Linked DNA regions of Styela clava. The protein of the gene in region 1 purifies or fractionates together with the protein of each later gene. This does not show direct contact. Links are inferred from orthologs where the notes say so. Each region holds a gene or a part of one and is shown on either strand. Other genes may lie near its edges. The genes, in order: U3 small nucleolar ribonucleoprotein MPP10-like and U3 small nucleolar ribonucleoprotein IMP3-like.

Evidence for each region.
Region 2: the proteins of U3 small nucleolar ribonucleoprotein MPP10-like (region 1) and U3 small nucleolar ribonucleoprotein IMP3-like purify together in Homo sapiens (affinity purification with mass spectrometry; 4 studies listed by BioGRID and IntAct, with this or other methods). This does not show direct contact. The link is inferred for Styela clava from reciprocal best matches to the Homo sapiens genes MPHOSPH10 and IMP3.

The regions. Positions count from the first base shown.
Region 1 is NC_135252.1:8,335,013-8,345,694, reverse strand, and holds the start of U3 small nucleolar ribonucleoprotein MPP10-like, read left to right. Parts: upstream 1-6,442; 5' UTR 6,443-6,521; coding exon 6,522-6,915; intron 6,916-7,374; coding exon 7,375-7,881; intron 7,882-8,327; coding exon 8,328-8,510; intron 8,511-10,657; coding exon 10,658-10,682. Other genes in the region: uncharacterized protein LOC120342339, read left to right, coding at 3-95, 270-413, 769-901, 991-1,016; m7GpppX diphosphatase-like, read right to left, coding at 2,867-3,009, 3,084-3,201, 3,278-3,366, 3,603-3,738, 4,160-4,300, 4,596-4,744, 4,900-5,059. UniProt on the Homo sapiens protein: Component of the 60-80S U3 small nucleolar ribonucleoprotein (U3 snoRNP). Required for the early cleavages during pre-18S ribosomal RNA processing. Part of the small subunit (SSU) processome, first precursor of the small eukaryotic ribosomal subunit.
Region 2 is NC_135256.1:9,270,551-9,279,444, reverse strand, and holds U3 small nucleolar ribonucleoprotein IMP3-like, read right to left. Parts: upstream 2,881-8,894; 5' UTR 2,774-2,880; coding exon 2,228-2,773; 3' UTR 1,615-2,227; downstream 1-1,614. Other genes in the region: cation-dependent mannose-6-phosphate receptor-like, read right to left, coding at 1-143, 1,422-1,588; transmembrane protein 26-like, read right to left, coding at 5,838-6,160, 6,607-6,731, 7,485-7,663, 7,728-7,925, 8,006-8,156. UniProt on the Homo sapiens protein: Component of the 60-80S U3 small nucleolar ribonucleoprotein (U3 snoRNP). Required for the early cleavages during pre-18S ribosomal RNA processing. Part of the small subunit (SSU) processome, first precursor of the small eukaryotic ribosomal subunit.

The DNA.
Region 1 (10,682 bases):
AGGTCAAAATACATCATGAAAAAATTGACACCAGCAAGGTGCAGTCGAAAGTTGGAAGCAAGGACAATCTAACACACACACCTGGCGGAGGAAAGGTAAATCTCTTTGTTTGATAGGAAAAAGGCTTGCAAGATATATAGAGTTGGGTGCGGAAATTACCGGTATGTCAAAATCAATCTGTATTCTTCAGAAAATAATTTATTTTGCTAATCTTCACTGTTTTGTCAATGTGATGGTTTTCTCCCAATATGTATTTTTTTAAATTTTAGGTTAAAATTGTCAGCAAGACGCTCGATTTGACAAACGTTAAATCAAAATGTGGTTCGTTAGATAATGCGGATCATATTGCTGGTGGAGGAGATGTACAAATCTTTGATGAAAAACCTCTGTTCAAAGATACTGCAAAATCAAAGGTATACAACTTGTGTTGAATCACTTTATTGTTTTGAGTATTTGAGTGCAGGAGATGCTTGCAATGCAATTCTGAGCTGAATGAAAATTCATCTTAACCTATTCGAAGGTTGAACTAACCAAGTCCTAGTAAAAAGCGCTCGAAATTTGACATCTGTGGTGGGTATACGGATAGCGGCACAGTCGAAGAATGCCTGGATACATGATTAAGTTTGCTGGTGACAATGCTGTATTAAAATTCCATATGAATTCAACAAGTCTAACCAAGTGATGCATACATCTGGCTTTTTTTGGCAAATTTTAGCCATCTCCCTAATTCGTGCAGTTCTTCCCAATATTAGTTGTTTTCTTTCAAAGGTGGGATCATTGGAGAATGCTGATCATATAGCAGGTGGAGGTGATGTGAAGATATACGATGAAAAACTAAACTTCAATGAAACAGCTGCACCAAAAACTGCTACTGGTTTCAATGGCACAGGAAGCATTGGATGTAAGATATGTTTAAAAAGCGGCATTTTTCAAGTATATTCTTTAGAGTTGTTTTCAAAAAGTGGCAAATAACATGAATTCTTTTTTCAGCTTCTGGATCGATTTCGTCAACATAATCTTTGGGCGTTAAGAAGTATTTTTTACAAAACTGGAGGAGGTACAAGAAAGAGATGTACAATAGCATGAAACATGTTTTGATATGACAGATTTCAATTATTTGTTTGAAGTTTTTGCAATTTTATTATGGTACCAATTACTGATTTTTTAAGCTGTAAATGTGTTTTTGTTACTTTTGCTGGGAAAGAGACATGATAGATTTATAAAATTTGCTTGTTCTTTATGATATAAATCGGTGCTCAACTAATTTTGTTCTGTTCTCCCACTATCAGAACTCAGGTTCTGTAATTCATTTACTCGCATCAGCTGATTCTTGCATAACAACGTTTTGACATTTTTGCGGGAAGCTGACTGCCCAGCAACAATGATTCAAATAGAGAATTTTGTGGTTACTGAGAACAAATAATAAATCGTAAACCCTACTAGCTGAATATTTTAATATCAGAACTAGAATTGATGTGCTTAAGCCCAACATCTCAACTTTCATCAGATCCGTACACTTGCCTTCAATTTATGTCACAAAATCATATGAATATCTGTATACAACTAACACGCATGATACATAAACTTGTTTAATCATACTGCTGCTCAGGAATTGCACAAGTATTTCAACATTGTGGTGATTGTCTCTACTTCTTGTTATTTTAGTGTCGAAATTTATTTGTTTTCTTTTTGTTCCATATATGTCATATTAGGAATACTTGTAGTACATGTAATATGTGGGAAATTTTGGGTCCGTTAAGCTTGTGACACGAAGCATTGTTCAATGAATGCTTATATTGTATTCATAGACTTATTGGTAACTGTCCAAATGTGAAAAATACCGCATTCCCTAGCAAATGAGTCTATCCGTTTCAGTATATAACCATCCAATAAGGGAGGGCAAAAAAATTGTTTCTCAGTTGGTCAGTTCAGCACACTCACAGAATTGACATGTGATAAGTACTGCATTGTACGTTAATGGGTTAGTTAACAGCTGAGCTGTGCAGTCTGGTGTCATTTCATCCCTGAATGGGCAGAACAAATCACTTCATCTTGGCGTAGCCTTTTAATTTTTAAGTAAGTTTTAAAAAAAAAAAAAGAGATATATTACATGTGAGTACATAATCAATTCACAGTAGCTGTGATCGGCAGACCCTTCGGCTTGGAATATAAAACACAAATCATGCTTGACAGACCCTAGAAAAAATGAGCGTAGCTACTCAATAAGATGTCCCACTCTAAAATACGCTATCTCAAATTACGTCACATTCTTGTAGTGTGAATTTTTATTTCAACTTTCCATACATAAACTACGATATGATTGGCTTTTTATTTTTTTTAGTAAGATTCCCCCCCATATGGTGTTAATAAATCGTCAACAAATTTATGTAATATTGCTCATCTTCATTCCATGGTGAATTATTGCTGAAGAACATGAAATAGATTGCTTACTTTGCCATTTATATTCTCAAGGTGTCTAAATATTTTTGTAACCCAAATGTCAATCAGATGTAGGGAAAATTGCACATACACAAAAAATTGAATTACTGCTGCTGGTCATCATAAAAGACTTGTTTTATTAGTATTTTAGATCTTGTAATACTTTACTTTTTAATGTTTAAGGGTATCAGCATTGTTCGATTTGTAGATGACCTGCTATTGTTGCAAAATAAAATTTTATTTCAAAATATTTCATGTCTTAAGTCTTCTGGGATAAAACACAAAGTTGTAGATAGCAGTTTCTGTGATTTCGTCAATCCTTGAGATCTTGTGGTTAAAAATGAATGCCAAAAGCATTATACACCTTTTTGTCTTGACTTTGGGATAATCGGTCAAGGCTGAGATAACCAAATGGCTTTTCATTCTGTTATGGCGTCTTTCGCAAAGCCGTAACAAGCTTATCATCTCTCTTCCCAACGAATGTCATGGTTTTTTTCTGGTAATAATCGCTCATGAATTCAATATTTTCAATGACATCCGTCAGTAAATGAGCTCTGGTTACAGACGATCCTGAAAATGAATAACATTAGAAAGAAACAGAAGATGAATGTTGTTAGGTGTATATTGAGATTGTGTTTAGTTACCTGGAGCATCAAAGGCGATGTTTGTGAAATGTATATGGAGGTGGTAGTAAGATGGTTGATAATGGAAATATATTCTTAACTTGTGTTTCTTCACTCCATACTTTTCCTGTATTGCATCCTACGTAAAAGAAAAATCGTCCTTAAGTCTTGTTCTATTAATAAGCTTCAATTGATTTCCAAAACAAAATTGTCACCTCTCCACGTTGCTTTATGTTCTTCAGTAGTGGTAAATGATCTTTATTCAAATCACGAAGTGACTTTAAATCATGTCTGTGAACAAGAGCTGGGAAGAAAAAATATGTGATGCACCATATAAGAAGCTTCTGTTATTTGGGATGTTAATCCTTAAAATACCAGCATAAATAAGCCATATGTGATAACCATTAGAAAATCCCACTGTGGCATATGGCAGCCATCAGAAGCAATGAATATACAAATTATTCTCTAAAATTGGCTACACAAAATATTAAATTTCAAGGATTGTGAGGATCAAACAAAAACAAGGAAAATTTTGCATACCCATCAGATATAATGATTCTATGTCTTTCAGGTCCCATTTCATATCGGGGAGAAGAATGAATCCTATTTCAGGATCAGGATCTTCAAATACAATCCTTTCGGATTCGCTTTTCTTATCCAGAATGTTGAAAACCCACTGTGAAAAAAACATACCATAAATAGATGGGAATATTATGTAATATTATTATTTCTGAAATATAAAAACATACTTTTTTATATAAAAGTAAAAAGATCAGACTATTGCAATTGTTCTACATAGGTGATATATAAAAAGAAAAATTATTTTCCAACTGCTATTTACGATTTATGTACAACATACTTTTCTCATATAAGTTGCATGCAAAACTATACTTGTGCAAAGCAAACAATGCCTGTCATAAATAATTTGTTGTGCTTGCCATTAATTAAAGATTATGTTATATAAAGGTGTGGCCCACGGATTCTCCCAGTTATTTGAATGTGCCTCTCCTGTATTAAAGGTTGCACACACCTGCTCTATGGTATTGTCAATTCTGAATGAAACCTATAATTTTGTTTTCATATGCTTTTAATCATACTTGCACACTGAATCGATTTTCTTCTTTCAAATATGGCAGTGTGATTTGCTTGTAGTCATCGCCAGTTTCCTCTATTACTTCAACTTCTTGCTTTGTGTATTTTTCTATGTGCTTTGTGGTTGCTGGATATATCACAGTTGTCTAAAATTAACAGATGAGAATAATAATAATTGACAGAAGCAAAAAACAAAAAAATATCATTTTATGATTTCAATTATTATTAATAGTACATTACTTCAAAGCACTCAATTTCGAACATATAACTCGTTAAATACATTTCATATCCCAAACCATTCAAATTGTCAAGTTCATTCAAACTCCCTTTTGAAAGTTTACTTTTATTTGAATGCTCTATCCTTGCTCTCAACACCACCATTAAAAAAAGGTTGAAGTGGTCATCAGGCAAAGATGAAATCGCATTTTTAAAGTAGACTACCTTAATTTCTGTGTGCGGTGAAGTGGGTACTGCTGCATATGTACTGTAGATATCATTTAATAAATCTTGGCGGAGCTTTGTTTCTTCGGAAAATAGAGATTTCAAGCCCTTTGGTGATGTGTCAAAAGGCCTTTTTTCCAATATTACAACTAGAAAATAAGAAGATAAATTGCTCTTTTAAATAAATTGAAAAATGTTTAAAAGGTGATTGTTATAAGGTATTTTGGAGTGCCTTTTATTGCGTTACACATAAACCATAAAGTTAATTAAGCCATGAAATGTAAATGTTGAAAATAAAATTAACCTGCGTCTTTGTTGTCTTCTCCAACTTTTCCATGGAGAAATACAAGTTTCTTTTCCTTTACTTCATTTAGGACGACTGGATTTTTCAATCGATGGAAAGGATGTAGCTCCACATCAATCTTAGCTAATTTAGGCGATGGTTCATCTTCCTCTTCACCCATAATCAAACTTCGGCGAACCCAAACACCAACCTTTCAACCACAATATGCTTAAACGAGAAAACTAATTTTGGTACTTTCCAGGGTCATGACCCCTTGAAGCGTGCGCATGAAAGACATACCATACACCGAATCAACTGAGATAAATAACCTGAGAGTGTTGGCGTATTTGTGTGCCAATAGAGGATTTGTCCTGTGGCAAACGACGTTTGAATCTCACACAATGACCTTAGGCATGTTTGCATGTAGGGACCGGTACGATAAAATCCTTTAAAATACTTTGGGTGATGATCCGTCAGCTTTTCAAATAATATGATTTCCTTTCCTGGCGTATTGGTTATATCAGTATATAGACGTTCATATACGGTAGGCTAGTCTCCGTAACGTACGGCACCCTTCCGGTCTTGATGCCTCGCCCTGTTACCGGTACTGTGATGGGATATTGTTCCGTACAAATTCCGATTTACTTGAAATCTTGCTGTTACCATATCCAGTTATTTTTTGTGTGATCCTACTCCACTAATAAAATGGTCCTTACGTTTCGTATCCAATATGCCTCAGTAGGCTACAACAACCAGCTTTTGATCGCTGCTAGCAACGAGCTTCATTCATTTCTTGTTACGGTCCATGAACGCACAGTTGAACCCCACGAGGGCGCTGTCGCGTGTATTATTACTCTGGTGGTATTTTGTTTCTCTGTTAATTATGATTAATTAAATTTGTATAATTTTTTTTTGTCATTCCCTCTAAATCTCCAGCCCACAGGTGTCGTTGACTCGATGACTGTCACAGTCTTTCGCGACTCCTTATCTATTGCTATGAATCTCTCACTTGTATGAATTCTGATGTGTATATTTAATTTTTTACGATTGTCATTATACACGTTTGTCAATTTTTCGTGCTTTAAATTTTGTGTTAATTCTTGCATGATAGAAATAAAATATCTGAATCTGAATCTGAATCTGAATCTGTTCGAGAAGGCATATTAATGTTATCAATAGCTACAATATATAGATATATGGTATAATCTAGTATTCAAAAAAGTTGAGTTAAATGGTGTACAAGTCCGGATTTCATAAATCAGTTTTTATTTATTTGTTTTTATCAATCACTTTATGGCCTGTTATGCTGATTATGGAGTCGAAATAAACTTACGTATATACTGATATACAAGTGTATGTTGATATCACAAAGCTTTTCGTGAATATTTTAACAATACTTCTGGATCGTAAGCCAATATATTAGCAATACTTGCATAGACCTATATTGCAGAAATTTAGCCTCACACTAGAATGATAATGCTCCAATACTTCATTCCACGTTACTGTGAAATTTCCGTATAGCATATAGACTAATACTGTAATATGTTCTACTTAATATATTTTGCATAACTTTTCAGTTTTATTAGATGAGTTGTAGAGTTTAGGAAATTAAATACAGCATTAGTTGAAGTTCAAACTCAATCATGGATGAACACTTTTTCACAAAATTGAAATCAAACTTTGAGCAATTCGTATCCTCACCTTTGCCATTTTTGGAAGGATGTACAGAAGTGTCAGACAATTTTAAATTATTATCAAAGACGATTTATGATTCTAATAAATCATCAGCAATTTCATCACGATCAGGTCCAATACCAAAACTTATCATTGAAGGTTTTGATCATGAGCAGATTTGGCAAGAAATTGAACTTTTCAATAAGAAGGAAGCTGCAACTTGTCTTAAAGCAGCCGAATATTTTAATTCTCAGGACATTTCCCAGTTCATGTTAAAGAAACATGAAAGTGATGATGAAACGGGTGATGAAGATGATGATTTGTCAGAATTAGAACCTGTTGAAGGAGAAGCGGAACCAGAAGGTGATTGGTTCATTATTTTTATTCGTTTTACACTTTTTACTTTGTAGCCTATATATATATAATACAATACTGATTCATCAGGTAATTTATATTTTTAATATCAATGATTACAATACTATTTACTATACATGACTAGTGGAGGTATGATTTTATTATATTCTGTTGTCCAGCACAAAATATTCTCCATAATTCTAATTTGTACAGCTGGAAGATATTGAAATATGCATTTGTTTGAGAGGGGTTCGATGTATATTTTCTATAATATAAGTCCCAAGCAAAGACCAAACTTAAAATTGAGAGATCATGATTATAAAGGTTGCCAGAGACCACTGCAAACAGTTATAGTGCTAGGCTCACCTTTGGTTTTCATCTCAATGTTGTTCAAATTCTTATTTGTAACTGTATTAAAAGTCAAACTGATATCAAGAAAATTTAACAATCAAAATTGAATATATTTAGCGGAAAGCGACGTGGAAGGATTCCATTTTGAAGAAAGTGAAGGAGATGACGAAGAAACTGAAGAAGAAGAAGAAGACTTCAATCAACATGATGTAGTAACGGAGCAGACTGAAGTGGACGATGATTTTTTCAGTCTGCGTAAAATGGAAAAATTCTTAGAAGACGAAGATCGAAAATATGAATTAGAACAAAAGAAGCCGGTAGAGGGCGACATAGACTATTTTGAAGATATTCCATCTGATGGCATTTCCTCATCTGAAGATGAGAATGAAGAATATTCAAGCAAGATTAAATCATCAAGAAACTTGAAATATTCTGATTATTTTGATGAACCTATTAGTTCAATAAAAAATAGAAATGAAAATATTTCTGAGACTGAAATTGATGATAGAAACAATGCACAAGATCAAAAACAATCTCATTTTGAAAAGCATCAGAAACAAATATCACAGAAAATTGGAATACTAGAGGAAAGAGCATTGGCACCTGCAGAGTGGCAAATGACTGGTAAACTGTTTTATTCATTCTATAATAAAGAATATTCTGTCCACTTTGGTATGCAAATCTCACTTGCTTAACGCACAGCACTAATCATGGTGCCTTTTTGGTCAGTCTCATAAAGAAATTCTCATAGAATTCAGTTTCTAACTTCAACTAAAATCACTGAGATCATATACCAAATTAGCACCGAGTATTCCTTAATAAGAACCCATTTGGAATGTGAAGTACTGGGAGTTTGTTTTAGCTAACCCTGGCCTCCATTTTAGTGGTCAGCTATTTTTAGGTGAATGCGTTATGTGCATTTTTCTAAGCTTGTATCGTAAAGAGAGCTCTAGCTGACTTTTTCTTACCAACTGTTACTTGATTATCTGTGATTATGACATCTTAAGTTAGATTGGTGAAATATTCATTTCAGTTACATAATTTATTGATCTTATTATTTTGCGATACAGGGGAAGTCAAAGCTGCATCAAGACCAGAAAATAGTTTACTGCAAGAAATGGTTCAATTCGATCATGTTGCTCGACCTCCTATTGATATAACAGAAGAACACACTAAAGATCTTGAAAGTTTGATCAAACAACGAATCATGGATTGTGCTTGGGATGACATTGAGAGAAAATATAAACCTGATGGTAACTACTAATAAAAAAAAATACTCTACTTTCGAAAAAATTCAATTTGTTTCCAACTTGTTTTAGATGTTCTCTATTGTATTTACCTAGGTATCTGTATTGTATTATGGCCATAATTAAATTATCCAAAGCATACAATTACCATTTCAAGATCATGAAATGGCATATCCAAATGCTTAGATGTATTATTATTTATATAAACAATTTGAATAATCAAGAACCTATTATAAATGGTGTAAAATTGTTTTAAGTATCCATATTATAGTTCTTGAGAGCTCTACCGATATATCGGCCAACCGATATATCGGGCCGATATTGCGTGTTTGCCGATATATATCAGCGTTAGTCGCTTTTCCACGTTCTAAAAAATGAGTCCCCCGGGAAATATCTGCGGCCGAGCTTTTTCTTTTTTTCGCTTCTCTCATTTTGCCTCTCAATGAACAGAGAGTTCTCTCTTTTATCTCTTCGTGCGGCGCAAAATCCTCGCCTTCGAATATCTTGCGTCCCCACTAGACTTGCACGTAATCGACAAAAATCAATTCCGTAATTACGGAAAAAAATCGATTACGTAATGACCCCGTAATTGCGATATTTTTTCACGCATTTAAACCTATCATAACAACCAATTGAATCCACTTCTTTTCCAAATGGGACATCGAAGTTTGGTTTTCATATCACCGACAGTACTACACGCCGGCGACAGATGTTAAAGACAAATACCAAGGAGTGAATTCAAATTAAATTTATTCTGATTTTTATCTTTTGATTTGATTTTCCTTTATCACTTTCGCAAATTAACCGTCCCAATTTTATGCGATCAATTTTATCATTACCAACACTGGTATACGGATATTTATGAAACAATAGTTGCCTTTTTTAAAATCGACTTTCGTATTGAATAAAAATTTCGGGTTTCCAAGTTATTAATCAACGACGAGCGTATTCTTTCGTTTGATTATACCTGCGCTTGCCTCGCAACGAAGACCTGTTATTGATCTGTTTTTTACATTATCCGACTTTGCTACCTAGTTAGCATTTTGCAAAAATTATTGATGCTGAATTATTGACGATATTCCGATTACCAAGCTTCATTTTATATCAAATCCTTTCGCGGCCTAAATGTTATAACATTTGCGATAAATTTAGATCACATAATAATTATTTAGCCGGCGGTAAATTCTTACTCGTAACTCGTTGTAAATTAATGATAATAAATTCTATTTTGTTTTTTAATGTGCTGTAATTTGTATTAATAAAAGTGATTGAGTCGGGAAAAGAAAGTAGCCTTCTCTCCCTTTGCTCCATAGCGGCGGTAAAATTCGTTTAATTTCTGTTTCACGGAGAGATAAATACACCTTCCGGAATTACAATCAACTATCACACATTCCTATTTATCGTTATCAGCGCGGAATAAAAAAGATACCAAATCGTGAAGACAAAAAAGTCTGTCGGTGTTAATTGCGTTACGGTGATAACGCTCATAATAATATCGTTTTGATCGTGAAACCAAACACTCAAACGGGGTGGCGACTTTACGTAATTTGTAACTTCCTTGCCGTAACTCGAAAGAATTACGTAATTCCCTAAATTACGTGCAAGCCTAGTCCCCACCTACTACTGTATGGATCAAAATGGACTTCTATAAGCTTTTTACTGATTGCCCTTTTTCTCTTGTGCTTGGTTTTTTCAAACTTTGCCTTCTGTTTTGTGCATTAATGTGTGTTCTTATTAATTGCTGTGAAACTTTTATCAATGATGCAAGCACTTTGTAGGACTGCTTTATTTTTCAACATAAACTTTTGATTGACTGAAACTGAATTTTTTTTTGTTCTATTTGTATTTACTGCGGGTTCAGGTTGTAGATATCGGTATGTCGATATCGGTTATCGGTCACTAGTTGGCCGATATATCGTTATCGGTATCGGTGCCAAAAAGTGATATCGGTCGAGCTCTAGTTCTTGGTATGTAATTCCAACGCATCTTGGCTCTTAGCGATGCATTCGGTAAGCATCCATCTATATGCAGTGAGGCACTTTAATTTTCGAAAGCTCGAAATGCTAATTAGTTCTACATTCCAAATTTGTGTCACTATAGTGAAGTGGGAAAGTTACTATAGTAAAAAATCTATCCTCTATTTATATTGACAGCTGAACCTGCTGAATACAAGAAAAG
Region 2 (8,894 bases), on another chromosome or scaffold:
TTTTTCCTATGGTTTTAGTTTTATGGTCGACTAAGTCTTCTTGTGTCACTGCAATATTTGTTCCGGGTTTGATTTCAGAACAAATTGACAGAGTGTATTTATACACTTCGCGATCCTTTTCATCCTTGAAGTTATAGGTGAATCTGAAAATATAGAGAAATCCAAGGTGATTGAACGTTTATTAAATGTACACATCCCCAATGTATTTATGCCACACCTACTATATAATTTAGACATTCTCACTTAGACAATGGAGGCACTTCAAAAAGTGAATTTGGAAATTACTAATGGGAGAAAATCAGAAAATTATTAAGCATACTCCTTCGCAAAGGCCAAAAGAGCGATTGATCTAACACAGAGTCGTCCAAACTGCGGCCCTCTGGCCGAAGAACAATTTTAGCGTACACTATTAAACCATTGGCAGATATTTGTATCTTCAGCAGAACAATTTTGATTTATTTTCAAACTATTCCAACTGGGAATAGTTATTTTTCTAATCCCGATATCGGGATTGATGTTTGTTAATATCACAGAATTTCATTGTTGTATCTATAAACGTCAAGATTATGCCCATATGGGGATGACATTCTGTGATCTGTGAATAGGGAATGAATTGTCTTGTGCACACAGGACCAAGCCGATGATTTCGTGCCTTTATTTTAGTCAAAACACTCCACTATTTTCAAGCGTTGGCCATCTGACAGCAGTGACAAACCGCAGAGCTGACAGAGCGATCCACTTTTTTTTATCACTGGGTTCGAGGTCCGAACTTAGGCCTGCTAGTATTAAATTTTTTCAAATATAACAATTCATCATACAATGAGTGTAGAAAAAAAGGTGACTGAGGTAAACTGGGAGGAAACGTATTTGGTATCCACAACAATGTTAAACTACAGTGTCTGGTGTGTTTTCAAATAATATCTGTCACGAAAGAATATGATTTTAAGCGACTTCACAAAACGAAACACGGGATAGATACCAAAACTACCCTGATATTTCTCAGAAAAATCTTGGAGCGATGCTGTTCTCCATAAAAATGTTTCGCATCCATAAGTTTTAAGCCATTTCAAGGTGCCCTATCCTGTCCATTCGGTGCAAAGGCATGAATATATACAAATATTCCGTGATATTTCTTGCTTTCATTCTATTGTGCTTTTCCGAAAAGGCGGATAAAAACGATTTGATTGATTGAAGCAATTTTAAAATAACTAAAGGTTTCATATTGTTTCCATGAAAAACTGATTAGGACAATAAACTCTCATGCATATATTTAAAGTGAGTAAACTCGCAATGTTTTGATCACTTTTGGGTTTTCTCCGATTGCGGCCCTTCAACCTCGCAACCTTGGACTAAGAGGTATTTGGAAAGTCTTTATTTCATGAAATCTTTAAAGCAAAATCTTTATTTTAGGCATAACTTACATTTTGTCTTTGAGTGGATCCAAACTAGAGATGTGTCGTGAGGATATTGAATCTTTTTGGGCACTTAACGTGCATTCAGCAACAATAAGAGTATATCCAAAACTAAGCAGAAAAAGTACCTTCAACAATTTGAGGTTTGACAAAGCATCCATCTCGTAATGTTTCATATGTGAAGAATATAGTGATAAATACACTAAACAAATATTGATCAAAAGTTTAAAGTAATTTTCTAAATCAATTAACGCATATCGATTCAGACCATTATTAACACGAGTCAGTACTTGAATTTGAAGAACCCCACAATAAAAATAGCGGCTGAAGGATCTGTAATACAACAGAGTAGAGCACTTCTTTCGAGCATATTTGTAGTTAAAAATGGCGTTCAAATCCCAAAATACCTATTTTATTCTATTATTACAAAAACTCAAAATATGATTTTGCAATATTACTTTCAGCTACTATTTTAGTGTAAAACAAAAAAACTACATTTTGATAACGCATTCTACAATAATTTAATCGTTGAGTTTTTGTGTACAATGTTTTTACATATGTTTGTGGCAAACAATATTCAGTCTCCAAAAAGTAATGCTTGACAATGGCATTAATATATCTAGAAATTTTGCAAATAATTGAAACATTACATTGATAAATAAATTATTGTTATAATCAATATAAATGCTTCCAATGCTGCAAAAAAAGCTTTGTAAATGAAAAATCATCACAGAAAATCTTGCACCCCCGTTCTGTGTTAGAGTTGATGCACCAACACAAGAGAGTATTGAAGGTTCTAACACATTTCAGTCATATTATGCAAAATCATAGTCATCCCTTTCGTCATTAAATTCCATAATGTGCTTTCGTATTTTAGACGTCGATTTCCATGTTATAAAATCTTCCATAGTTCTAGTGACGAAATATGCAGGATCTGTTACAACATCTGTTCCAATTCTGATATGTCCTTGCTCAATCAATTCCGTGGCCATTTTCAAATTCTGCGACATGCGCAACTTAACGAGCATGACAGGTAAACGTCGCCTGCAAAATGTAGACGCCGTTATTTTGTCCACCAATGCCAGTGACTCTTTCGTAGGAATTAATCCCATTCTATAAAGTTTATCTAATAATTTTGCAGTACATCTTTCTCTAAAAGGATCATCGGTTTCGAGATCTCTTAGTTTGCGCGCTATCGATCGCACATGCCGACTCAATTTGTTATATGACGTGTAATCTTCTCGTTTTTGTATCCTATATTTCCTTAAAATCTTTATTTCATGAAGATTGTTATCCGCTTCCCAAGCGAAAAAATCTACTTTTTTCAACAACTTCTTTTCGTGATACTTCAACTGCCTCATGGTCGACAAATACTACGCGAAGCGATCAAATAATGACAAACAGAATCCACCGTACACTTCACCACAGAACGAAACGCTGATTCCACAATCTGGCGACGGAAATCACGAGCTCTGACATGTTCACACAGAGATATAGATATTTCCAGTTCAGTGCATGTTCATCAAATGTGAAATCATGCGGAACAGATGGTGGGCTTGTCCATTTGTCTAATCTGATATGTTAATCGTTGGTCTGGATCGGTCTGGATGTATGCGCTATATAACCAGAGCAAACGTACATAAATACTAACGCATCGTTGACCTTGGCATGGATATGAAATGACTACCGCAGATTTTGATTTATTTATCTTCATACGAATGTACAATAACGCACACGCAAAAGGAACATCTTGTCGAACGGGAGAGACAGAATAACAAGGAAAACGAGAATGTTGGTCAGAGACCGAAGACTTATCGATCGAAAGTTAGGGGATTCAAAACAGCGCTCTTACTCCATAGTGACACCTTGTGTCCCATTACTAATTAAATGATAACTCGCTAATTATACGACACAATTCGCCCAAAATCAATAGGCCTCAGGTACGAGATATGATGAATGCACATGCAAAATTTGCTGCAGATCCAATCTCGTTTTCGTGAGATATCGCCTAGCCTACATCTAACAGACAGACAAACAGACAGACAGACAGACAGACAAACAGACAAATACCTATCAACATACTTACCGATTAAAATCGATAAGTAACAAGCAAAATGTCCGCACGTTCGTGGGAGAGCTGGACTTTGAGAACTAATGACGTTGTATGCAGGATACAGATTATTTAGAATGGGTTTCACGTCAGTATATTTCCAAACCTGCCAACATCATTTGGTGTGCGGTAATGATTCACATATTTGCATCATTAGCAACGCATTTTCGGTCATTTTGTAGCTCCAGAAACAAAATCTTGAGGAAAACATGACTAAAGCTCTCAACCAGGACTTTTAGTTTGGCGTTGCAGACGGATAACTCGCTTACCGACGCAGATGGGCAAACCCTCCGCGATGGGCAAACCCCTTTACGCATAAGCAAGTTTTTACTTTTCCAGTGTCAAATAAAGAAATGCTGATCTACTAACCCGCATAAAAAGACTATAAAAATTTATGAGGCACTCGAATATATTAAACAATACTGGACTAAGAAAAACAATTCTCAGAAAGTCTAAAAGTTACCCATGGATAAATCATTGGTAGTCACAAAACTTGTGGCCAAGGGCACAGAATGTGTCGCAGTCAAGTCAGAAACAACATAGAGGCGACGTAACAATTACCGGCTTTCCTCTCCCCTGGGATAAATATGTAAATCCTATCCTAATATAAGTCTTATTTATAAGTAAATGGATATCTATTTTCATATTTTGTATATTTGAAATTTGAAAATCTCGCAATTCTGTATTTTGTAATTTTGTTTTTGATAAATTAAAAGACATCCCCCCAAAATAAGCCCTTCGAAAGAAATTTGAAATAAGACCCTGTCTTATTTTTGGGGAAACACGGTAGCCGCCCACATGGTTACAATGTGAAGTAGTAGCGACTAGCTATGCACAGTGACGAAGAAAACCAGGTTCAAGTACTTCAATTCAAGAGTTTAGCTGACACTGTGCATTGTGCTACTGGTACATGACAACGTTACGGTAGCGGTAGTCTATCAGCTTGTACAGATGTAGATTATCTTAAAATATATTTATGCATAAAAGCAGTGTAGTGTAGCAGGTACCGGAATGAAAAGGAAATAAATTCACATAAAACTGATCGGCCCCTAAGCAGGCGCACATCATATAAATAGTCATTGATCAAGAAAATGACTGACTTGTCAAGAGTGTACATACCGGTAGGTTGGATATCAATAATTGCAGATATAGCAGAAAATGGGTAATCCGGAAGTATGCGCACCAAGATGTCGCATAACCTGAACCCTAACCTGGTACACAACCTAAGTCCAGGATGTGCGCCATCTTGGTGCGCATAGCCTACTTCAGGAGGTCAAGAAAATGTAAATGAATGTAGCGAAAATATATTAGTAACAGAAGGTCATCGATTAGTTATAGTTGTTAGAGCTGAACATTGCAAAACTCAACATTTTTTAATCAATACAATATATTTTGAAAAAAAATAATGCCCAATTAAATATTTTGAAACAAAATTGTGCTTATGAATATGTATACCCGTTTACATGCTTTAACTCGCTAATTCAATCTCAAAATAAGCATCGAACTTTTTCACCACACTGGTAAACTATGTGAGAAAACATCCGGGGGGGTCGGAAAAACATCCACAAGGTTAATTTCAGAAAACATTATAATATTTTATCTGAGATTCCACGTTGCTTGCTAACACGCGATAAGGCTTAATGTATTAGGAATGATTAATTAGTACCACCCCGACAGGGAATTCCTTGACCCAATTATTATTACGCCAGCTATACGGTTGCCCACGATCGCAAGCAAATATATGAATCGATAGATTTGTCCCACAGAAAATGCACATGTTAACGACAAGAATAAAACAACACAGCGGTGGGAAAGTTTAAATTTACATAGATGGGGTAGCCTGGTAGCCTACTTTATATATATATATATATATATATATGAGTATCACTAGGGTAGCATTCATTCCTTTTTGGTCATATATACAATATTCCAACAAAAGTTATAATTATGCACCTTACCAAAACAAAGTTTTAATTAGCGTAATGGGCATTGGGAACCGAACTATATTCTTGTTGGTTTTTAACTACCAAAAAATAATGAAATAAAATTTCATTCTGATCTATAAAATTTATATCTCAATGTTAAGTTACATTACAAATCCAATAAATTTGGATGCACTTAGAAAATAAAGTAAAATATTATAGGAAACACTGATGATATTATTAAATGCGACTTTATGTTACCGTGAGTTTAAAAATGACTAACAATGGTACGGAAAACGTCCACAGTTTGATATCGTCTAATCTTAGATTTATGCACAATAAGAAGTTTGTAGGCCTACAAATAATAGTTCACTGCCTGCGCCAGGAAATATTTCACGATGGTTTTCCGTCAGTGGAGTATGTATCATTATCACAATGCAGTTCATGCTCGTTTGAAGGTAAACCTGGCAATTCAAGGGAATCTGAAGTAGCCACCATCTCATGGGTTGGTTTCCTACTGTTTAGCCGTTCCACAATATCAGCACGATTTAATTCAACAACACTGATTCCATCTCTTTCCAAGTGTGCTCTTGCTATTTCTATACCATCGTATTTAATCTCCGAATATATAATACGAAGGCGGTGGATTTGAAGAACAACAACCAAGGCATTCTTGCAAGTAAAGAATGCCATTGTGTGGCTCAAGATTCCCATAACTGTAAATTAAGACACGAATATTGGTGATGCAGATTACAAATATTAGGTCTGATAGTAATAATAGCAAGGTATTTAATGATTATGCAATCAAATAATCATTTCACTCCGTTAACTTTGTGCAAAAATAAATAGGTTGAAGTATTTGGAAAAATATTATATTACAATTAGAAAGAATAAGATCGTTTGTATTAATTTCTCGATAGAGTATGAACCACGTTCCAATGCTGGTCGGATATGGGAATACTCATTTTACTAATTTATTGTTTCAGTTTCACCACGTAACCACCCTGCTAAGGTGAGTGGTCGGTCCGTACCATCGTACGTAATCATATTTTATTTCAATTGTAAACTATAGTATATTGAATATAATCAATAAATTACTACCACGGGAAAATAAACCGAGGCAAAGTAATATTTAAGTGTTCGTAAGTAAGCAAAATTTTACCCGACAACAGAAAGAGGCGAAATATAAAAAAAGGTAGATCCTGCATTGCGGTTGATGACAGCACCCCGACAACGTCTTTGTTTGACCAGAAATCGCTAGACCAAAACCCCAATTTCCGAACGCGCCTGCAAAAGAAAAATGAAGACCACCATTGCCATTTTACCCGTTCAAGAGTTATTTGCCCAAGCAATTTCCCGTTATGAAGCCACAAATTTTCAAACTTCACAAATGTATAGCATTCATTAGTTTCGGAATTAAAGATTTAACATTTCGAGAGTTTCATCCACCTTAAAAACTAGTATTTTTTTGGTCGTTAATGGAGTGTCATAGTTATAATCTAAAGCTCATCTTGCTTAATCAATCAACGGAGTATCGTTAGAAGAAATATTGTTATTATATATGTACGTTGATACTATTTCCATGAGGTCAAATGTTGCTGGTTGTAAGAAGTTTACTCTTGGAAGAGGAGAAGGAGAAACATCACACAACGAAAGATAAATAATCAAGATGAAAAAAAGACCCACCACCCCTCCAAAGAATATACAGTACAAGAAATCTTCCATTTTTATGTAATAAAAATTTGGAAGGAATTTGAAATAATAACATCGAACATATTGAATTTGTAAGCTGAAAATCGTTTTACTGGCAGATATAAGATAATATTATTTTTGAATAACAGAAAAAGTGGTCAATAGTAACATATATATTTGGTGGGTATTACGTACTCCCATATTATATCATCTCAACGAAACCGAACCAATGACTAGACGCAACTCGGCTACAACTACCATATCTTCTGAGTCGTCCTATTTTCTCTCTACTAAACAAGCAATTGATTCCGAAAAATGTATACACGTATGGTTTTGTAATTGTCTTACCGTCTTCCACCACGGGGTTCTGCACAGGTCCGAGATCTGCTGCTTTCTCCCCTTCTGATACTGATCCCAGCCATTCTATTTCTTCGGGATCGACTTGAGGTAATAACGAGGCTGTATTGTAGTAAGCTCAACGTCCATAAAGATAACGTTGGGTATATAATAGTCGGTCGTTGAAGTAACTGAAAGAAAAGTCGTTCAAATTTTTGAAATATCTCTGACATATAGTTGTAGTTAAACATTTACCTCTTCTTCATTGAAAATCGAAAATAGGTCCAAAATATCAGCTGCTATGCCCATGTGCACCAGTAAAATTTGAGATAACTCATCTCTAGAAATTTTTCCTCGTGGCAGTATACCTCGGCAGCAGATGAGAATGAATAACAGTGACTGCTCCAATGCCAAAGCCCACCCAAATTCGTCGAGTAATGTTGGCAATTTAATCTAAAAATAAACCATTAGTGCGTTAAATTTACATGAGTTTTGGTAACTCGAGAGTAGTTGCAGAGTAGTGGAAATGTTACCCCGAACAGTGTGTTCTGCTTTGAAAGCAAATAATGTGACGATTGATAGACACCGTTAAATTTGTCGTAGCGTTGTTCCATAAGTCGAAGTTCCAATAACCACAGACAGGGCAATGCGGCAACGAGAAAGAAGAACATAGCGGGAGAGAACCTGATGAAAAGAATCACACTGGATTATTCGCAAAAATCCATTTAATGGTTGGATAAGAATGGGTGGAGTTTCTAACGGTTCGTTTATGAACTCACCTTTAGTTGAAGTTGTTCAATCGCTGATGTCCTATGAATATTGGTCATTAAAAAATATATCGATATTTACTATAATGGTGAATTGAATTGATTAAATACAGAAAAGTCGCAATAAAATTGTCGCATACCGGAAATGGCTGTACTTTACCTAATGTCCTACAGTTTTACACCCATGGATGGGCAATGTAGAATAACTTACTATTCTAGAGTACTTTTTTTTGCCTCGAACTGTTTGAAGTATGTGATCCCTAAATACTGGTACTGATATGCTAAATAAATTGAGACTCGCATTATACACTTAAACAGTAAACGGGGGATACGAAAACGCGGCCGCATGATGTACCACACTTCGTGGGAACGTGGTAATTATCGGTGTAAATTATTAAATTTAACCACTATCAATTATAATCAAGTGTTTATTCTGTGCGATCAAGACTGCGTAAATTTGTTGGAAGTCTGGAAAAGTAACACATCGCTAGTAACACATGCGATTGTATTTTACCAAAATTGCCGGTAGTTTTCAGATATTTATTTCGTCAGCGTGATGAGTTAATATTCAAGCCGTAAACACCTTTACGTCAGTATATATTCTCCCAAAATCGCAAATTTGCCTCAACATAAGTATGCGTTGTGCCACGAGGAC